4 linked regions of the Caenorhabditis elegans genome follow. The protein of the gene in region 1 interacts with the protein of each later gene in a pairwise test. Each region holds a gene or a part of one and is shown on either strand. Other genes may lie near its edges.

What was found.
Region 2: the proteins of php-3 (region 1) and nhr-47 interact in a two-hybrid assay, tested with the Caenorhabditis elegans proteins (one large-scale study listed by BioGRID).
Region 3: the proteins of php-3 (region 1) and Y22D7AL.16 interact in a two-hybrid assay, tested with the Caenorhabditis elegans proteins (one large-scale study listed by BioGRID).
Region 4: the proteins of php-3 (region 1) and gipc-1 interact in a two-hybrid assay, tested with the Caenorhabditis elegans proteins (one large-scale study listed by BioGRID).

What each region holds. Positions count from the first base shown.
Region 1 is NC_003281.10:12,073,688-12,079,286, reverse strand, and holds php-3 (Homeobox protein php-3), read left to right. Parts: upstream 1-1,730; 5' UTR 1,731-1,784; coding exon 1,785-2,128; intron 2,129-3,353; coding exon 3,354-3,565; intron 3,566-3,617; coding exon 3,618-3,805; intron 3,806-4,597; coding exon 4,598-4,681; 3' UTR 4,682-5,069; downstream 5,070-5,599. Other genes in the region: Homeobox protein nob-1, read left to right, coding at 1-31, 1,086-1,184. UniProt on the Caenorhabditis elegans protein: Probable transcription factor, involved in posterior embryonic patterning, morphogenetic movements of the posterior hypodermis, and cell fate specification. May regulate expression of transcription factor dmd-3.
Region 2 is NC_003283.11:5,503,249-5,510,457, forward strand, and holds nhr-47 (Nuclear hormone receptor family member nhr-47), read left to right. Parts: upstream 1-2,004; 5' UTR 2,005-2,204; coding exon 2,205-2,226; intron 2,227-2,269; coding exon 2,270-2,367; intron 2,368-2,510; coding exon 2,511-2,628; intron 2,629-3,367; coding exon 3,368-3,546; intron 3,547-3,595; coding exon 3,596-3,745; intron 3,746-4,440; coding exon 4,441-4,569; intron 4,570-4,619; coding exon 4,620-4,927; intron 4,928-4,971; coding exon 4,972-5,155; intron 5,156-5,203; coding exon 5,204-5,292; intron 5,293-6,071; coding exon 6,072-6,357; intron 6,358-6,410; coding exon 6,411-6,587; 3' UTR 6,588-6,708; downstream 6,709-7,209. Other genes in the region: dnj-19 (DNaJ domain (prokaryotic heat shock protein)), read right to left, coding at 1-178, 361-598, 647-738, 797-1,597; hpo-15 (Amine oxidase domain-containing protein), read right to left, coding at 6,787-6,961, 7,011-7,209. UniProt on the Caenorhabditis elegans protein: Orphan nuclear receptor.
Region 3 is NC_003281.10:1,661,567-1,666,742, reverse strand, and holds Y22D7AL.16 (C2H2-type domain-containing protein), read left to right. Parts: upstream 1-1,526; 5' UTR 1,527-1,590; coding exon 1,591-1,640; intron 1,641-2,019; coding exon 2,020-2,049; intron 2,050-2,104; coding exon 2,105-2,161; intron 2,162-2,757; coding exon 2,758-2,905; intron 2,906-3,767; coding exon 3,768-3,920; intron 3,921-4,173; coding exon 4,174-4,292; intron 4,293-4,368; coding exon 4,369-4,531; 3' UTR 4,532-4,639; downstream 4,640-5,176. Other genes in the region: glb-30 (Globin domain-containing protein), read left to right, coding at 549-830; Y22D7AR.3 (Ovule protein), read left to right, coding at 950-1,022, 1,126-1,250.
Region 4 is NC_003281.10:4,869,077-4,872,796, forward strand, and holds gipc-1 (PDZ domain-containing protein), read left to right. Parts: upstream 1-1,701; 5' UTR 1,702-1,763; coding exon 1,764-1,798; intron 1,799-1,852; coding exon 1,853-2,150; intron 2,151-2,197; coding exon 2,198-2,938; 3' UTR 2,939-3,185; downstream 3,186-3,720. Other genes in the region: C35D10.3 (uncharacterized protein), read left to right, coding at 201-336, 530-822, 867-1,020; C35D10.12 (Methyltransferase type 11 domain-containing protein), read right to left, coding at 3,491-3,646.

The sequences.
Region 1 (5,599 bases):
TGATGAGAAGCAGGTCAAGGTCTGGTTCCAGGTATGTTATAGGCAGTATTCAGCGGAAAGTCTAGAGATCATAAATGTGAATTTTTATCTAATGTCCTAATGAAAAAAATTCCAGAAATTTTGGTAAATTCCCAAATTTCCTCATTTTTAAAAATTAATTTTGAGCTTCTCTGGATTTTCAAAAAACGAACATCTGAAAAATACTAAATTTCAATATTTTGAACATTTACAAGGTTTGGGCACTAATAATTGAAAAAATACAATATTTAGCGCCAGCCAAAACGAACTCGAAAAAATTGAAAAATTTTTTAAAATTTCCAGAAAAGTTTTGGCAAAATGCCAAATATTTAAACCTGTTCCGACCTCTAGAATGTTTTATAGGAATTTTTTTGGCAGACTTCCAAAATTATGACTTTCAAAAACTGAGTAATTGTCACTTTTCAAACTTGTCAAACTTGTCAAAATTTTCAAAATTTTTTTGGAAAAGTTTTGCTATCATTTTGGCACCACTGGAGTAGTTTTTAACAATTTCCTCACTGGCGCTAATCCATCAATAACCATACTTTAAAAGTTAAAAATTACTTTTCAGCACGTGGTGTCAGAGTATCCCATTTCGGATTGATCTACGTTGATCTACAAAAAATGCGGGATAAGAGGCGCAGAGTTCACAACTGATTTCACATGGTTAAGAACGTGCTGACGTCACCTTTTTTTAGGAAGAAATTCCCGCATTTTTGTAGATCACACCGTAATGGGACAGCCTGGCACCACTTTTTGTAGCCACACTTTTTTGAACTAAAGTAACATTCGTAATTAATTATCAGAGTGCAAATAAATAAGTTGGACATTTGTGAATTCACGTAAAAATGGAAATGTGCAAAAAGGAGGCAAAAGGTGAGCAGGTTTCAGGCAGGCATCAGGCCTTGAAACCGCATCTGCCTACCATGAGAAATAATTGAAAACTTTAGAAACCTGAAACCGCGCCTGAACATTGTCAAAAACCGTAAATATGTTGTTTTGTCTAAACTCCAACCATTTTAACATTGCATGAATTGTTTTGCTTTCTCTTAACTTCACTGTTTCAGAATCGACGAATGAAGGACAAGAAACTGCGTCAACGACATTCCGGGCCATTCCCCCACGGTGCTCCAGTCACTCCGTGCATCGAGCGATTGATCAACTGATTTTCTCTATTTACACAAAGTGTTCTAACTAATGATTTTTTTCTGATTCTTATTCATTATTCAATTTGCTCTCTTCTCTCTCAATTTCATAATTTTTGTCCCAAATCTCGTTTGCACAGGGTTGTGTTTTTAGCCCATTCTTCGTTCTCTCCAACCGGTACCTAGACACCGTTCACTATATTTTTTCCCTTATTGTTTGTCGTCCTCTTTGACTCTTTTTTCGATTCAAGTTCAACTTTCTTTTTCCTTTTTCATGATTTAATAACTCTTTTTTTTCAATTGGCAAGGCACCCATAAAGTTGTTTCGTTTTTCTCTGTACGTGTATGTCTGTCAGTGTATCCTGTACTTCCTGTACTACTTGCTCCTCCGTCGAGCCGATGTTCGTTCTCTACCCCCCAGCAATGCCACAGAGAAAAGCACCACTTTTGGGTCTTTGCCAAACCTGTTTTTGTTTTCCGCTAACAACCTCGTTTTACCCCCGACCTTACCACTTTTCTTTAGTATCTCTCCCCGCTGAAACCCCAAAAATAGTGCTTTTCTTGCAGGCTTGCTCACGGTAGACAACGCCCGAACATCAGCGAGCTCCCGTCATCATCCTAATGATTTCGGTGATGCAACAGATGATGAACAATTCTAATATGCCACCCCCATTTGTGAAGAGCTCTGATTCTCATGAAACTCATGATGAATCACCGACGTCTCCGTTCATTAAACGTTCGGATTCTCCTGCAACAACGTCTTCGGCGGCAGCAGCAGCAATGCAACACAACTTTTGGTCGACAAGAGCTGCACAACTGCAGCAATCTGTATCTGGATCATCTGGTGTTTCTAGTGGTTCCAGCAGTTCTGCATCGAACAATTTATCAAGGACACAAGCGGACAATCATTCGGAACGAGGATCCGACACTGCTTCCAGTCCTCAGGTTGCACCACTCCCAACGAGGTTTGTTAAGTATTTTAAATATCGCGGTCAAGTGGAAACTTTTTAATTTTAACTAGAATACAAATTTGACAATTACCACAACTTCGGCAATAGATAGCCAAATTTTTGCCCATTTCCATAAGCATGAAGTTCCTAAACGCCTAATTTTCTTTCGGCAACTTCAGCGGCCGGCCCCGAAAAATTTCGAATTATAAATAGCCTTGATAATCAGGGGTGGGCGGCAAACGATTTTTTACGGCAAATCGGCAAATTGCCGGAATCAAAAATTTCCGGCAAATCGGCAAATTGCCGGAATTGAAAACTTCAGGCAAATAGGCAAACCGGCAAATTGTGGTTTTGCAATTTTTTTTTCGAAAATTCAGAGTTTCAATTTTAATGGGCAAAATTTTACGCATTCTATGAATGCTCCTACATTTATTTTGAAAATCAAAAAAGCCGGCCACTCGGCAAATTGGCAAATTGTCAGAATCAAAAAATTCCGGCAAATTGGCGAAATTGTAACTTTCGGCCTATCGGCAAACCGGCAAATTGTGGTTTTGCACATTTTTTTTGGAAATTTCAAAAGTTCAATTTTAATGGGCAAAATTTTACGCATTCTATGAATGCTCCTACATTTAATTTGAAAATCGAAAAAGCCGGCCACTCGGCAAATTGGCAAACCGGCAATTTGCCAATTTGCCGATTGCACAAAAATTGCCGAAATTTTTTCGAAAAATTGGAAGCTCGGCAACTTTTAGGCTGCCAGTTGTCGATAGTTGCCGATAGTTTTCAGAAGTTATTGAACTTTCTGAAAATTTGTTAAACAGTGTCAACATTTGTCGAAAGTGGTCGATAGCTGCGGATAGTTTTCAAAAAATGCCAAAAATTGCCAAAAATTGCCGATAGTTACCGAAAATTATTGATTTGTTTTGAAAAGTAGCCAAAATTTGCCGAAAGTTGTTTTTTTTTAATTTTAAGATATACAAAAAATACCCCGACATTATAAATTTCATATTCTTAATTCAATAAGTACACGTAGTGCCAGACTGTCCCATTACGGTTTGATCTAGAAAAAATGCGTGATTTTTTTTGCCCAAAAAATGTGACGTCAGCACGTTCTTAACCATGCAAAATCAGTTGAGAACTCTGCCGCATTTTTTGTAGATCTACGTAGATCAAGCCGAAATGAGACACTGTGACACCAAGTATGTGTTCTCAACACAAAAACCAATAAAATCAATTTCAGCAGTGGTATGTCAATGCCAGCAGCGGCTGCAGCCGGAATGTACCCATTCAATGCTGGTCGATTTCCAACAGAGTTTAATATGATGGTTAATCAATCAATGTACAATGATTTCTATTCAAATAGTCTTGCTGCATCTTCTTGGCCATACTCTTATCCACAACAATATCCGTTTGCAAACTACTCAATGCCAAGTTTAGATGGAAATTTGAATGGTTTGTTAAAGTTTTTAAGCTTTTGAAGTTTTTTTGAAAATTTTTATTTCAGACGGTGGTCAACTAGAATGGACGTCCTCTTCACACGCAATGCGTAAAAAGAGGAAGCCGTATACGAAAGCGCAGACATTGGAGTTGGAAAAAGAGTTTTTGTACAATACCTACGTCAGTAAGCAGAAGCGGTGGGAACTTGCAAAGTACTTGCATTTGACTGAGCGACAAGTCAAAATTTGGTTCCAAGTGAGTATTTTTGGCTTCCATGGTAGGCAGGCGCGGCTTCGGGGCCTGCCTGAAACCTGACCGCCTCTTTTTTGCATTTTGACGTGAATTTTCAAATTTCAAATGTGATGAAAATAAAATTAATAGATGAAAAAGCGCAGATTGAGGCGATAGGCAGGCGAAGGTCGCCTTGAGGCCAGGCAGGCAGGCAGGCTACACGGATGCCCTACTTATTATTAAGATGTTTCATTCCAAATGGACAATTTGATTCAATAATCGTATAACTGCGTGTATCAGAAATTCTGCATCTATTGATTACTAAGAAAACACTAGATTCCGAGGATGCGTTTTGCGCAAAATATCTCGTAGCGAAAACTACAGTAATACGGGCTCGAGTTTTAAAATGGATTATTAATTTATCGATAGAATATTATTATTAAACAAAAGAAACAAATTAATATAGCTCACGTGGTGCCAGGCTGACCCATGACGGTTTGATCTACAAAAAATGCGGGAATTTTTTGCCCTAAAAATGTGACGTTTGAACGTTCTTAACCATGTAAAATCAGTTGAGAACTCTGCCGCATTTTTTGTAGATCAACGTAGATCAATCCGAAATGGGACACTCTGACTCCACGTGATAGCTGTCACAATTCAAAAAAAAAGTTAGTTTCGAAAATTGAGCTCGTAAGTCGACACTACAGTAGTCATTTAAAGAGTAGTTTTCGCTATGAGATATTTTGCGCGTCAAATATGTTGTGCAATACGCATTTTCAGAATTTTGACTTCCAGTAATATTTATATTATTTTCAGAACCGACGAATGAAAGATAAGAAGCAAAAGCAACGAACATCTGGAGATCCAACTGGAATGCTGATGCCACCTGGATTGGATTAACTCGAAATACTTTATTGTAATTGCCCCACCTCACGCGGTGCCTTTCTGTCCCATTACGGTTTGATCTACAAAAAATGCGGGAATTTTTCGCCCAAAAAATGTGACGTCAGCACGTTCTTAACCATACGAAATCAGTTGAGAATTCTGCCGCATTTTTTGTAGATCTAAGTAGATCAAACCGACATGTGACACTCTGACACCACGTGCCACCTGGGTCTAAATTTGCCAAAAACCATACCAACTTGAAATGTTTCCTGAAAAGTTTTCTGTTTCCTTTTAGGTGAATATTGAACTTCTTTTTTTTTCTTCCATCTCTCTCTCTCAACCTTAGCTCAAATGTTCTACTTCATTATATCACCACCATTGATCCGCATTTAATAAATTCAATTTACCGGTACAAACTACTTTACTCTCCTCAATATATTCCCTCAATAATCTTTTTTTTAATTTTAACTTTTTTTTGTATCGGATTTTCTGAAAAAACAAATTTTTTAAACAGTTTTTTTGAATCTTTCAAAAGTTAGATTGTGTTTCGCCATTTACACGGATTTCTGGCTTCCCTCATAAATTGAAATGGAAGAGTTTGCCGAACTAGGCCATTATGGCTCGGCCACATCTGGGGTAGATTTACGGTGCGTTGCGTGTCGCGTCGCGGCTCGATTGTAAAACTAAATGTAATTGTCCGTGTGGAGTACACGACACTTTTCCACGCGTTGTCCGACAGGCGATTGTCAATGGAGCGCGAAAAATTCAATGAGGAAGGCCAGAACCCCGTGGTGGACCTAAATTTTCACAAATTTTGAACAAAATGGGCCTAAATATTCACAAATTTTGAGCAAAATGGGCCTAAATTTTCACAAATTTTGAGCAAAATGGGCCTGAATTTTCACAAATTTTGAACAAAATGGGCCTTAATAT
Region 2 (7,209 bases), on another chromosome or scaffold:
GGCATCTGACGCCTTGTCCGTGATGTCCTCCGTGTTGTTCTTCGTCCGAATCTTCATTGTAAGCGTCTCCGCCACGTCCTCGGCTGTACTTCTTCTCGTCATATTCCATAAGAGAAACTTCTGCGGCAGCTGGGGTGACATTGACAACTTTTGAGGTAGGGAAGCAGCTTTTCAGAACCTGGAATAAAGAAAATTTTAGATAAATAAAACGTAACATACAAATCCTATTCTAATCAATTTATAAACATAAATTTTTGTTGCTTTTTTAAAACGGAAATAAAGTCAGTAAATGAAACAAAACCTTAAAAAACAGTTCGAACAATACATTAAGAACAATAAATCTTTAATAAAAATACTTACGGCATAAGCTTTTTCATCATCGAGGAAATGCTCCTTTGGAAATTCGACTTCAAATTCAACGAACAAGTTTCCTTTGAGTTCTGGGTATTTCTTATTTGGCATTCCTTTTCCAAGAACTCCTCTGATGACTCCTGGCTTGATAACATCTCCTTGTTTACTAGAAAGAACCAAAGGATGGCCATCAAGATGTTTGATAAGGAAATTATAGCCGCAAAGTGCCTCATTCAGTGATAGTTTCCTGAAAACAGTAAAACTTAATTTTTAAAAATCGATAAAAAGTTATTACTTGGTCATGTGAAGATCATCTCCATCTCTCTTGAAAATATCATGATCTTTCTGTTGAATAACAATGACAACATCTCCTGGCTCACCATCTGGCTAAAAGATATTTTTATTTAGAAATTTTTTTAAATCAATTATCTTCACATGCACTTACGTCAGATTGGTCTCCATCTCCTTTGAATGTAATTTTATCGTTATGTTTCATGCCAGGAAGAACGTGAACCTCCAATATTTTCGAAACGTTTTCGTACTTTTCTCCATGGCATCCTTTGCACTTATCACCTGCTGGAACTTTGCCTCCAGAACCCTTACAAGCATCACAGTGAACCTGCATTTGTTGGAGCATTCCGGGGCCAATTTGCTGAACGATCGTCTTCACTCCACGACCACGGCATGCATCACACTTATATTTTTCTCCCTTCTTTCCACCTGACCCTTCGCAAGTTTTACAGAGTGCCTTTTTGGAAAGCTTCAGCTTTGATGTTTTTCCGACGTAAAGCTCTTCGAGTGTAACATTGAGGGGATGAACAGTATCTTGGAATTTCCGCCGACGTGGGCCACCTCGTCCCATTCCACCCATTCCACCGAACAAGCCACCAAATGGATGACCACCCATATCATCATCGTCGTCATCGTCATCACCGCCAGCACCGCCGAAGAAGTGAGAGAACAGACCTCCAGGAAAGCCTCCTCCACCACCACCAGCTCCTCCTCCTTGAACTCCTTCCAAACCTCTGGCGTCATACAAGCGTCGTTTTTCAGGGCTCGAAAGAACTTCATAGGCAAAACTGATCTCTTTGAATTTATCTCCATGGTCCGGGTTTTTATCTGGATGGTATTCTTTAGCAAGTTTGAAGTAAGATTTCTTAATGTCGGCCTGCGAAGCGTCTGGTCTCACATTGAGTGTTGTGTATAAAGTGGTGTCCACGGGACCACTACTTCCACCTCCAAACATATTACCTGAAAAAAAATGAATATTAAAATGCGGACATGACAGTGAAAAATTGAGAGAAACGGACGGAGAATGCGCGAGATGTTTGAAAAATACAACTTTTAATAATTCAATAATGTAAATTATTGAATTATTTTTTAGCAATTTAAACAAAATATTTAGAAATCAATTTTCTTACACAACGAACGACACCAACGAGCAAGTGAAAACAAAAACTGAATTTTGTGAACAAGCATCGAACGTTAATTAATGAGAACTGAATAAAAAACGCGGAAAATCGAGAAATTGAGCAAACGCGCGTCAAATCGATAAAAAACCACCGAATTTGGGACTTTGTACTGCAGAGAAAATTCTCGATAAAACCAACGCTGGTCGCGAAACGCGCCAGCATCCAATAACGCGTCAGCCGCAACTTCGCTTGCCCCATTCTCGTGAGCGCACGGCAGAGAGACTGAAGACGTGACAACACCAATACTCCAATAATCTTAGCACGCACACAACTACAATCTATATAAATACTGCATTCTAACTAATAAAAAAGCCAATGCTACTATTACAAGCTATATTTAAAATATTCATAAATTCTAAATAATCCATAAACTTTAAAATTATGAGTGAAAAGTTGCCACCAGGTTGGGGTTCTGTTTTTGGACATTTTTCACATAATATTATCAGGTACACTATGCGCAGTCTGTGACGACATTGCAACTGGCAAACATTACAGCGTTGCTTCATGCAATGGATGCAAAACTTTTTTTCGTCGGGCTCTTGTGGTAAATTTAAATAAGAATAGACCTAGTTGAAATGAATCTGAAAATATTGATTTTTCTCTCAATTAAAATGTTTCAAATTGATATCTAATCACAAAATGTTGTAAGATCAATTTAACAAGCATCAAACATCACCCTTTTTTTAGAATAACCGAGAATTCGTGTGTCAAGGGAATAAAGATTGTCCAGTTAACAAAGGAGTTCGATGCGCGTGTCGTTATTGTCGACTTCAAAAATGTTTGGCCGTTGGAATGGATAAGAATTGTAAGTTTTTGGTATACTTTGAGATTATGGAAGGATCCTAGGGTACATGGTACATCGATTAGTAAAGCCGTAGAAGCAACCCGAAATAAATAAAAAATCACCTGCCATTTTCCACGGCCGAATATGTATAAATAAATATTAAATTGAAAAAATTAGAAAACACTTTTCTGTTGAAATATATATTTTTCTTACAATTAGATCAATTATAGAATAAAAAAGTATTATTCAGACGCGAAATTTGGCGAATTTTCCCTCTCTGCCGGTCTCGGCACGATAAATGTTTGATAAATATAAAAATATATGCGCCTTTAAAGAGTACTGTAGCTTTAAACTTTGCTGATGAATTTTTATCAATTTTTCTCCGATTTTCTATGAAAAATATAATTTTGCAATTGGTAAAAATATTAAAAACACATAAATTTGTGAGAAAAACTATTCAAAATCAATGAAAATTCCACAATAGCGAGTTCAAACTACAGTACTCTTCAAAGGCGCACACCTTTTCGCATTGATCAAAAAACTGTCGCGTCGAGACCAGGGTCACCGTATTTTTGAGTTTAAATAAGGAGAACAATTTTTTAAGAGCCGTTAATTAAGAGGCTCTAGATAAAATTACAAATTTTGAAAACCAATTTTGAAATTTTTCCAGTTTCTCATCAATCTAGAAGTTACAAAATTTCATAGAACAATATACAATTATATTTCAATTTAATTTTTTTTAAAATCTGAATCTATTCAGCAATTCAAAACGACCGTGATAGAATTGGATACACAAAACGAAAAAGAAGACATGATGACAATGATATGGAAGGAGGTGTTCATCATTCAGAACATATCAGAGATGGATCTTCAGGAAGTCCACAAATGAATGATGAGAGCCCCGAGAGTATGGATATGAAGGATATTAAAATTGATTTGGTAACTTTTAAATAGAAATTTCCAAAAACAATGCAATGCATAATTTCAGAATTGTCTGGATCCAATTGCTGATAGGCTTACAACGTTGGAAAATAACTTCACACTACTTTTGAGTAGATGCGCCGATTTGCATTCCTATGCAACGTTAGAAGATGCTCTCAATGCTCCAAGTCGATTTATGCAACCTATTTCTTGTGAAGTGAGTTGAAGAAATGATTTATAAAGTAGCGTCAATAGATGTTTGGTATTGTTTATGTGCATTAAAATAGTTTCTTTTAATTTTGAAAGTCGACCAAAAAATTTCAAATGTTTCTGAAAATTTTGGCATTTTACCAAAACTTGACTGAAAATTTCAAAAAATCCAGAAAATTTGGTCATATTGGTCTATTATAAATGAATTAAATTCAGAACCCCAATGGTCATATACTGTTAAAAATTTGCATAAGTATTTAAATTTTTGTAATATGAAAAATGTATAAAATCACGTCTAACAGCTTGAGCTAAAAATTTTAAAATTTTCATGAAATCTACTATTATAAAAATAAGACTGAACGAATGATTGGGATTTTTTCAAAATTGGAAAATTCACTTTTTTTGGTACAAAAATACGCCGAAGTTTATTAAAATTTACTTTTTAATTTTAGTTCCAAATTCGATTTATTTTAAAACTTTACAAAAAATTATTTTCCCAATTTTTTGGAATTCGTCAATCAAAAAAATTCCAATTTTATGTTTAAAATATATTTAAAATATTCATCTTCCAACATTGTAGATGCTCAAATATGCGACAGTGCATTAGATTTCTTGAAAAGTGCCGCAAACTTAGTTTTCACCGCTTTCTGACTTTTTTTAGATCTATTTCCAAATTTCCACAATACTTACAACTTATTTCAGTGGTCAGACAATGTAGTTCTCACAAATCGAGATGATAAATTGCCATTCTGGAGGCAACGTTTGATAGCTCTATACATAGATTGGGCGAAGACATTTTCCACTTTTAGATCCCTACCGTACGCTGACAAAGTAAGTATCTAAACATTCTCCTCTACCTCTTCCATCATCCACTTTTTCAGGTTGCCATGGTAACTAATCATGCATCTTCTTTCATGATCATGTGTGAAGCTTTCCGCACTCCAGAGCACATGAAATCGGATGTTGTTCGTAAGAGACCGGATCTTCCAAATATCGTGACATCAAACTCCGGATCCGGATGTAGCAGGGTTTCATCGGTGGCTGGAAGCTTAGTGAGCAATGGGGAAGATGTACACGATGATTTGACAAACTTGCTTCATGCGGCATGTATCCAGCAGTCTATCAACAAAGGGATCATGTTTGGAGAGAATTCTTCTGATGATAAAATACTTTTGAATCTTCCAATTCGGTATAGATATTCAAACCCATAAGTCTCAATTTATATTTTTTCAGAGAAATAAAGAAAGAACCACTAGAAGTTCCATCGACAGAAGGAATGATTCAACTTCCAACTGAATATGGCAACCTTCCAGCAGACTATGCTTCGTGGATCCCTCAAGATTACGGTCATCCAACAGCTGGACACGAAGGAAAATCAGATATGCACAATTTCTTTGAAGCTCGAGACTTTTGTGTGGTAAAATTTTTTTTTTTCAAGTACATAAAGTTAATTTTTCTTAAACAGGGTCGTCCATCCTCCTGCAACTTGAATGAACGATCTATGAAAACTGTTTCAATGTTGGAATCGAGAAACTTTCAGTCTCCAAGTGCAAAGTGGGTTCTTTATTTTTTTGAAAAACAATCTAGTTTGAAATTTATAAAATAATGAAACACAAAACCGTAATCTATAGAGCCATTTTTGCAAAAGTCAACCTAAAATTGTGTCTATGATTTTTACATTTAAATTATGTTTCAAATATTCACCTTAGAACATTCTAACTTACCAAAAGCTTAGCTGTCACTTTTGAAAGCTTTCAAAATTTTTAAAGTGTTTTATTGTGATATTCAGTCATGATAAATGTGTATTTAGACTATATTCTTATAGTTGATGTATCTGACGTTACCAAGGAATTATGAGAAAAATCGGTGGCAGGCTTAATGTGCCTAGTAGACGCCTAGGCATTTTGTTAATTTTGGAAGGTATGGTCAGTGGGGACCTAGTCTAATTACACTTATTATATATAGTCCAACATGACAAAATACCTTAATTAAACAATTTAAAAACGATCTTAGATTTTTCTCAATTTTAAGTTTTGGGTTTATGTTTTGTTCAACTTTTGGCAAATTGCCAAATTTCAACAATGTACAGCTTAGAGCTTTTGTGCAATTTCGAGAATTGATGCAAGTTCGGACCTCCAGAGTGTTATGTACAATCAATACAAAATTAAAGTATAAAACTCGAAGAAAAAAATTATTTTTGGTCGACTTCCAAAATTACAACACTTTGACTGTAAATTAAAATTTTTCAGAGGTAAGAGATGAAAATGTAGTTTCAAACTATTGCCCTACTGACGATATTCCATGTTTAACTTCAATTAAATTTTGATTTTCAGCAATTCGAGTCTTTCTGGAATAACACCAGTCCTCACAATGATGATCGATCTTGTAATGAAACCATTCCGCCAGTTGAACTTCTCCACGACAGAATTCGCTCTACTTCAAGCAATCATGTTCTTCGATCCAGACACCGAAGGACTCGATTCGGCATCACAAAGAAATGTTGTAGCAGAACAGAAGAAACTACTTGCAGTGCTCTTTCGTCATTTGCAAAAGGCTTATAATCCGCAAGCGGCAAGCGAGAGATACGCTTCAATTATTCTTCGAATGCCATCGATTCGGGTACGCGTTGAACTTTCGATCTGTCTGATTAAAAAATTCTATAAATATTTCAGAGAGCCGCTGCAAAAAAGAATGAATCATTGCAAGTGCTGGATATGCTTCAAATGCATGAAATTAATTCTCTAGTGAAGGAAACATCGCTCGGTCCGAGACCTTCAAATGTTCAACAACGAATGGGAATTGGTGGTGGTGCAGGAGGATGTCTCACGTTTCCATCTCAAGAGGATTGAGGATTGAGGATTAACTTCAAATCATTGAATCTACATATTTTTTGATCTCATTAATATCATACTCAGGATTCCATCAGTATAAATTGCCTAGATAAAACCAAATAAAGAATGTTTATTGATACTCAACGTTATTAGAAAATATCGAAAATTTAATAAAAAAACTGAGTTAAATCCTCAAGGTATCTGATTAATCTTATTTTTAAATAGAAGTTATTGGTTGTGAAATGATTGGGATGTTTCTCTGATCATTGATCAATGTTTCATCCACTACTTCCAATTTTGTGGTCTGATTCCATCTTCCAAACCAGTCATTGACAGCTCGATCAGCTTCTCTGCGACCACTCAAATAACCTCCGATGGTTGTTTGGAATAGTCTGAAATTGATTGTTTAGACTTTTTTCTCTTATCTCTGAAATAGTATACCTGTGATGAGTTGCTTCACCGGCAAACAGAACCTTTGGTCTTCCTTCCAGTTTCACTGGAATCGCAAGTTGAGAGTGAGAAATATGGGAGAGCGCTTGCACTTGAGTCATGTAGGAATAGGATCCTAGAAGCAACTCGTTCTTGGTCAGCTGAGTTCTGATAATCTTGCTAGGCTCGGGAATACTTTTGTCGTTGTACA
Region 3 (5,176 bases), about 10 Mb from region 1:
TTAATATTAAAGTTCTCCGCGTGACAAAGTTAAATTTAATGATAATATTGAAGAAATGTAATGAAAAATTGTTTGAAAAATCATAATCTCCCAAATTTCGCAATTTTTTCCAAGAAGTGGGCGGAGCCTAAATCGTTTTTCGATCGGAACCTAGTCGTGTTTATACTTAAATAAAAGCTCTCAAAGTGGCTAAACTGAATTTCACTAAATCTAAATGAAAACAACAGTATTTTCTCGAAAAACTGAAGTTTCACAATATTTTTCAACAAGTGGACGGAGCCTAAATTGTTTTTGCACGGAACCTAGTCGTGTTTATACTTAATTTGAAGCTCTCAGTCTGACAAATCTATATTCTCATAAATAATTGTGAAATCTCGAAAATTGGCTGAGTAGCGACTCGAAGTATTTTTCAAAATTTAGATTTTTACAAATTTCTACATAAATCAGTCAAAAATCAATATTTTCAAACGATCTAAAAATCAGTCGATGGATAAATTTTCAGACTACTGCTGACTTAGTTTTCATATTGAAAAATCAATAAATTTCAGGCAATAAACGGCCAGCACTCGATATCCGGCGATGACTCGGGCCTAAGCTCGGGCTTAAGCGTCGAAACGAAACAGGACCTTACTCAGGTGAAAATTTCTGCATTTTCTGGCAGACAACATCGCACGGCTTCCACCCGTCACAGCTTGGCCTACATAACTGCCACACCGGCAGAGCCGATGACGTCATCGACCTGTAACTTTCTGAAAACGCTGGCCTCAATGTCGCCGAAATGTGTTAGACGACGATTTTCAGCATCTCCAAATGCTAGAATGCATGTTTAAAATGATATTTTTGTAGTTATTGTGATTTTTCAATATTTAACAATTTTTTAAATTTTTATAAAAAAATTGAAAAAAATAGATTTTTTTCAAAAATAATTTTTTTGCTTTTTTCAACGGGTATGGTCCCGAATTTCACAAATATTCCAATTTTTTGTTGGCTGGCTCAATTGCACGAAATGCTCGGCGGGATATGTAAGTTTTTATTTCTAAAATTTTTTTTTTAAATCAATATTTCTCAAAAAAAAATTCCAAAAAAAAATCGATAATTTTTTCTTCAAAAAAATCTAATTTTCAGGCTCTACGTCGCCGCGAATTATCGATTATTGTACCCGAATATTTCATTTGTCGCCGAAAATCCGACGTCGAACCATTCGAGGAATCTTCGCCGACTCCTTCGTAAAGTTATCGATTTTTTTTTGAATTTTTTGATTATTTTCGTATATTATATATATATTATCGATTTTTAAATTTTTACTATGATTTTTGTTTTTTGATTTTCAAATACATGAAAATCTCCTTCCCTAATTTTTTTTCCTTTTTTCCCACAAAAAGTTCACACCTCACTGGGCACGCCGAGAGCCCGACCAGCAGGTGGAAATCAGAAAAACTCTTATCAATTAGGGGGTGCGGCGAGGTTTCCGTGGTAACTGGTCGCCTTCCTCTCCCCGAAGGAAAAGCTCCAACTTCTTTTTATTTTTGTTGTCAGCTTTGTTGCTTTACGAATTCCCCTTTTTTCTCTTATTTCTGCCAAGGTGCCAAAATGAGCAGCAGCGAGGATAATCGCAGAACTAAGAAGGACTATAAGAAAAGGTAAGCAAGATTTGTCTGAAAATGTGCTTTTAGAGTTGATATCTTGAATTTTAAAGTGAAAAATTTGAATTCTCCGCTATGAAAAACCTGAATACCCCAGCGGGGGCTCGAACCCCTGACCTTTTCACCAAAACCAGCCCTGTTACCGACTGCGCCACCGGTACGCCGAGCCAGGCGCTGCTGCTGCGCGTAATGGGCGCCGTGGCGCAGTGGGTAAGAGGTTTGACCTCTGTGAAAAAGGTCGCGGGTTCGAGTCCCCGGCAGTGTATTTAGGTTTTTCATGGCGGAGAATTCGAATTTTTCACTATAAAACTTGAAAATATATCAAGTACGGGTGTTTTCTAGCAATCTTCTTTTTTTTTTGAATTCTAAATTTCAGGTCAAAACAAAACAGGGAAAGGTCTAGAAGGTATGTTAGTCACTTTTAAAATCAAAAAAAAAAATTAAAATTGACGCTTTTGCAGTCCAATTGCAAGAAACCGCAGCCGCTCAACAAGCCGTGGGACGTTTGAGGAGATTGAGTATATTGATTTTTGTAGTTGGAAAATATTTTGAAACTATCTATATATATGGGAAGAAGTATCTTATTTATCTATTGTGTTGTGTTTTTTTGGAAACATGGATTACATGGCAAATTGCTCATTTATTATTTTTATAGAGTTACTTGGCTTGGAATTTTAAATTTTGAGCATTTCGAGCCCAGCTATGGCTCAAAATTGAATTTTAGGACAATTTTTTCAGAAAAAAACCAAATGTTATGCCAAATTAAACAAAAAAAAGTTGTTACCACTAGTGGGACTCGAACCCTTGACCTATTTTCGAAGTCAAGGCTGTAACCAGCTGAGCCATTGGAACAATTTTTTATTTAAAATTTTTTGCTAAATCCGAAAATCTAGGTTATATTGCTCTCCGAGCATTATGAGCCAGGCTATGGCTCAATATATGATTTGTTGTGTTGATATCAATTTATTGTAACAAAAAAAAATTTTTATCACTACTGTATCACTATTTTCATCGATCTATCTATGTCCTTCCTATTTTTCGAAAAATTCAAAAAATGCAAACAAGTTTAGCCCAATTTTCTCCCGTTTTAATCCAAAATTGTCGAAAATTCCAGCTCCCCAGTCCGTGACCGTTCTCGGACACCGAAGGCTCCCCAATTCAACTGCCGTCAGTGCCGGAAAGCTTTCGACTCGATTCGGGAGCTCGCGGAGCACGAGATTAAAAATCATGAAGATCAATTTAATTGCTATCATTGTGACAAGGTAAATGGACTAGAAATATTGATTTTTTAAAAATAATATTGATTTTGGGAAGATATCGATTTTATGGAAATTAATGGTTTTTGAAAAATTATAGATTTTTCTAGAAATATTAATTTTTCTAGAAATATTAATTTTTCTAGAAATATTAATTTTTCTAGAAATATTAATTTTTCTAGAAATATTAATTTTTCTAGAAATATTAATTTTTCTAGAAATATTTATTTTTTTAAAATATTGATTTTCAGAAATTATCGATTTTATGGAAATTAATGGTTTTTGAAAAATATTGATTTTTGGAAGAATATTGACTTTTCTAGAAATATTGAATTTTTGAAAAAAGAATGATTTTCTGAAAAATATCGATTTTAGGTGTATTGATTTTTGGAAAAAGTATCGATATTTAGAAATTATTGATTTTTGGAAATTATTGATTTATGAAGAAATAATGATTTTTCTAGAAATATTAATTTCTGGAAAAAAACTATGATTTTTGGAATATATTGATTTATGGAAAATTTTCGGAAAAAACATTAATTTCTGGAGGAATATTGATTTTTCTAGAAATATTGATTATTGGATAAATAATGATTTTTGGAAATTATTGATTTTTGGAAATTATCGATTTGTTGGAAATTATTGATTTATGGAGAAATAATAATTTTTCTAGAAATATTAATTTCTGGAAAAAACTATGATTTTTTAGAAATTATTGATTTTTGGAGGAACATAGATTTTTTCTAGAAATATTGATTTTTCTAGATATATTGAAAATTATTGATTTTTGGAAAAATTATTGATTTTTGGAGGAATATTGATTTTTCTAGGAATATCGATTTTTGGGGAAAAAACTAACTTTTTTCAGAAATCCGAATCAATTGAGCGCCTGGCGGCCCATACCGCCCACCGACACGGCCCAAAGCCTGTAATCTGCGCGTATTGCCAGGAGCCATTTGGTAAAAGCTCTGAATTAATGTCAGATGATGATTGGGACGAGTTCAGGGATCATATTTTTAAGGTTTGAAGAATTTTTGGGTTTTAAAACGTATTTTTTGAGCAAAATCCAAAAAATTTAGTTTATTTTGCTTCCTGAGATTTTCGATTTTCGAGTTATGGCTCAAATTGGGATTTTAGAACAATTTTTCAAATAAAAAAAATTTAAAAAAAAAACAATTACCACTGGTGGGACTCGAACCCTTGACCAATTCTTTCGAAGCAAAACCTGTAACCAGCTGAGCCGTTGGAACCTTTTTCAAAATCTAATTTTCCAGGAGACAGTAAAAAAGCGGATGTATCGCCATGGAAGCCGTAATTCCAGTCAAAATGTCTCAGTTGGTGGTGCTCTCCGTGGAGTTGGATCCTGTCCTCATGGCCCGCCGGTCAAGTGCAAGTGAGCAATTTTTTCTGAATTTTGAGCACATTTCAGAAGCTCAAAACAACGGTTTTCACCAAAAAAAAGTTTCCAGAAACTTCCCCCAATGTCCTGGAGCCAAATGCATATATTCCCATAATATGTGCCGTTATGAGGACACTTGTAACAAATCCACATGTCCATTTGATCATTCAAACCGCCCGAGAACCTGCATGACCTGCGTCAACGATATGAAGTCCAGACGTCGAAATTATTGACTTTTCAGAAAAGTTAAAAATTATTTTTTTGCTTATTTAATATAGTTGGTTTCCTAAAAATTTAGAAAATTCTGTCTGGAAAAGTCTGAAATAAATATTTTTTTTCCCGGTAAAAATTAATGTGTGTAAGATATAGTTTAGGCATGAATCTGTAATTTGGTACAGTTTTAACAATTTTGGGTTTTTATACTCAAAAATGTGGTCAAAACTTTTAAGATTTTTAATTCGAAATGTAACAAACAATATTCGAGACTTTTCAGAGCCTACTTTTTAAAAAGTTTTTAGATAAATTTCACAAATTCGCTAATTCTGAAGAATTCCAAATATTATGAGATTTTTTTTGGCGGGAATTCAAATTTCTGAGAGAAAAATATGGCGGTAATCCAAATTTCTGTAAAAAATTTTGACGGGAATATAAATATTCTGAGAAAAATTTCGGCGGTAATTCAAATTTCTGAGGAAAGATTTGGCGGGAATTCAATTTTTTTAAATTTCGGCGGGAATTCAAAATTCTGTGAATATTTTTGGCGGGAATTCAAATTTCTTTTTAAAAATTTTGGCGGGAATTCAAAATTCTGTGAATATTTTTGGCGGGAATTCAAAATTCTGTGAATATTTTTGGCGGTGATTCGAATTACTGTTAAA
Region 4 (3,720 bases), 7.2 Mb from region 1:
GATTTCCTACAAGAAAACCTAGATCTATTGTGTACCAACCCGCAAAAGCTCTCTTTTGTAGTAGGCGAAAGGTAGGCATGTGTGCCTTGAGACAAAGCTGTTGCTTTCTTCTCAGGATTTGTTCCATATTCTTAAGAATTAGAAGCTTTTGTGAGAAAATTTAAAGAGTGTAAACTTCTATCAAACTTCTCTTTTTTCAGTTACGCAATATGCAGCCCAAACTTATGGATGATTGTTGCTTGTACATGCATGACACTCCTTACAATGCTTATGACGTTATATATGAATTGCGGGTTTCGAAGGAATGTACGATGGCTGAAGTTCACTGAGTGGAAGGTTTGTGTTCATTAGATCAGATTGTTAGTGCAGGTTCAACGTATCTTCCTTTTCGGGCCCTGCCTAAATATTTCATCCGACCGAGGCGTAATGATCATTGATGATCACGTAATCGCCATCCTCTTGCAATAGGCGCCTTCCGGTCGAGAGGGGTGAGCGTGAATTGTGAAGCTCACTTCTATTCATATTTCAGCTCCAGCAACTCGCCGAACGTCTCCGCATTCAAGAGCCAAATGTAGGTCTTCTTATGCAAGTAACCAGAAAAGTGAATGATAAGAAGAACAGTGATAAGAAAGAATTCGACTTTTTCAACAATCGAGATCAAAATAACAATATCGCAGGAGCATTGAATGAAGTGGCAAGTAAGACAAGTAATGGCTCAATGGGATCAACGGATGTAGTTGCTGCTCAAATCAGAAAGGCGAGAGATGAAGACGTAGAGAAAGTGTTGCGGGAGAGTAATATGGATATTCTTACTCCTGATGTGTATGTTTTAAGTTTGAATTTTCTGAAAATGATTATATTTTCAGCCAACCCACTCAACCAAGCACTGGAGGATCTCAGAAAATTCTGAAAAAGTGGACAGGAGCAACAATAGATCTCTTCTCGAAAGATGAGGATGAGAATGAAGGGAAAGGAAAAAAGGAAAGAAAAAATAAAATTGATCGAACTCAAGAGGATTGATTTTTAATAAAGATTTTTCATTAAAAAATTCCCATTGGGTTTCAATATAAGAATTTCCTGCACCATAGTTATGGCCCAGGAGCCAGCCAGAAGTATAGTCACAAAGCGTATTATCAGGTCTATCAGTATTCATAGAGAGTATTCATACTTCTGGTTTTTTTTGTCGCTACTTGGGCTGATATTTCAGTTTCACAAGATACATTCCCAACCATCACTATTCAAAAGTCGACGGGGCTCCTGCTCGGAAAAGTTTGACAAAAGAAACCCAGGATAAAAAGAACTGCTTCAAATAAATGATTTCAAATAGTTAAAATCACAAAAAACTAGATATCAATTTTAAATCGCTCGGCTCCTCCGATGAGCACATAATCCTTTTTGAGCTCATGAAGAGTCCGCAGCCAATATTTTTAGGGCAAGTCTTACGGGTACGGTAGTTGAACAATTAACTCGTGTTAAGATCTGGAAATTGCCTCGATATTGAGCAAAAATCGAGAGAATTGTTTGCGATTTACTTTAGTTATACGTGTTACAGTTTTAAAACAAAATGAAGAAAAACACGAAAATTAATAAAATTCGAAAGTTATATTTTTAATGAACTTCCTCAGCGTGGCACTCTAATTTGGTTGGCATCTAAGCTCCGCCCACATCAATGCCTATAAAAGATCAGTTTCTTGATAAAATGATTCATTCATCGATTTAACACCAACTCACTTCAACTAGTACAACTACTAACATTCTCCACAATGCAAGGACAAGGATCACCATTCTGCCGTTCTAGGTATGTATTACATGAGCCCGAGTCTTATGTCTCAAGTTACCATGAATATTTTAGAACCCGCTCGAGATCTCGTGGAGCTTTCAATCGTAGCTCCAACCACGGTTCAGTGCTTCCAATTCAGCCTGCCGTATTGGATTCAATTGCCGAGGAATCATCGTCTACTATCATGACAGTAGTCAATCCTTTGATGGTGGCAGCAAGACAGCTCAAATTTGCTTGCCAGATGGCTCATGGAAGTCCAGTTGGAATCATCGACAAATGGAACAATATGGAGGAATTGTATCAATCAATTGCCGATTGCTTTACAATTTCAAAAGATGATATCATTTTCCTGACAGTCAATGATTTTAAGGTTAGTTTTGACATAAATAAGTCAAATTCTTATTCTAAATATTTCAGCCAGACATGAAGAACATGTTCACTGGAACACTGAACTTCAAGGATATGCTCTTCGCCCACATTCGCGGACAAGCAACCGAGCTCCGAGTCGTCAAAGATGCTAAAAACTTTGGAGTGACAATCACGGACAACGGACTCGGGAATGCATTTATCAAGGTCATAAGCCCAGATTCGGTGTTTGATCGTATGCGTCCAGCCACTCAAGTTGGTCAACTCATTGAGGCGGTCAATGGAGAATGTGTGCTCGGGAAAAGGCATTACCAAGTTGCCCGAATTTTGAAAAATGTTCGTCGCGGCGAGGAATGCGTGGTTCGATTGATTGCTCCAAAGACTGCTGATCCAGGAACCATGAAGACGACTGGAAAAACTGGCGGAGGTCTGGCAAAAGGAACCATTCGTTTCAAATCGGAAGGCGGATTTGCTGTTGAGGATGTTCAAGATCAGATGATCCAAGCTGAGATGTGCGGAAAGCTCAATGAGATATTCGACCAATACTTGGGAGTTCAAGATGATCAGCTGGCCATGAGAATCTGGGAAACTGCTTCAAACTGCGAGACGCTTTTGCAACTCAGTGAAGCCATCAAAGAGTCGGAGCTCTCAATGTTCGATTTCCCGGATGGAATGGTTTTCGATATGTGGGGAATCATCGGTGATTTGAAGCGGGAGCAACGTGAGAAGAAGCCATCCCCAGTCATGAAGAATGCGATTTCAAGACCATCGGCTATGAAACTCTTTGAGTAACTTTTACTGTGGAATAAATTATTTTAATCTCCGAACTGTCTTAAATTGGTTTAAAGTATATCCCACTAACTTTTCAAATTTATTCGATTCACAAGACTTGAAAAACACTCTTTCCGCTGCTTAGTTCGATTGTTTCATTCAGCACATCTTATTCTCCAACAGGCATCCGCATTTCATAAGCCTCTAGAAAATCATAGCATTCATCGATTCCCAGTTTAAATGCTGTTTAAATGAAGCTTCAAATTTATTTTATTTTTCTTTTGTCAAAATGTTTATTTTAAAACAGCGTTTTGTCAAAAGTATGTATTCAATTTTATGCTTTCCCATTGGTTTCTCATTGGAGCTCTCGAGCTCCAAATGTCCGTTACACCATGTCCACCTGCAACCTAGTTAGAAGCGAAAGATAAAATCTGCATAAACTTCAAACGTTTTGTATTAATTTGTAAGATTTTAACGCTTATTTACATAAATACAGTTTATTTTTTTCGAGATCATAAGATTTAGTTCTCAAACGAACTTTGGATATGTGCAATACGAGATGATTCCTAATGTTCATGGTCGAATGACATTTGCCGCCACTTTTTCAGCAATTACACACCAATTGCCATGTTCAAAAGTTGCTGAGACGACTTTTAGACTCTCCACGGAATCTACTAAATCGGCAAGTTCACCGTCTTTGAAAACATGATAGAAGCGGTAGAATGTGACCTGAAAATGGAAAATTATTAGCTGAAAATCTCTTAATTTAATTGTAAGTAAAATCGCAGCTTGGTAATCCTCGT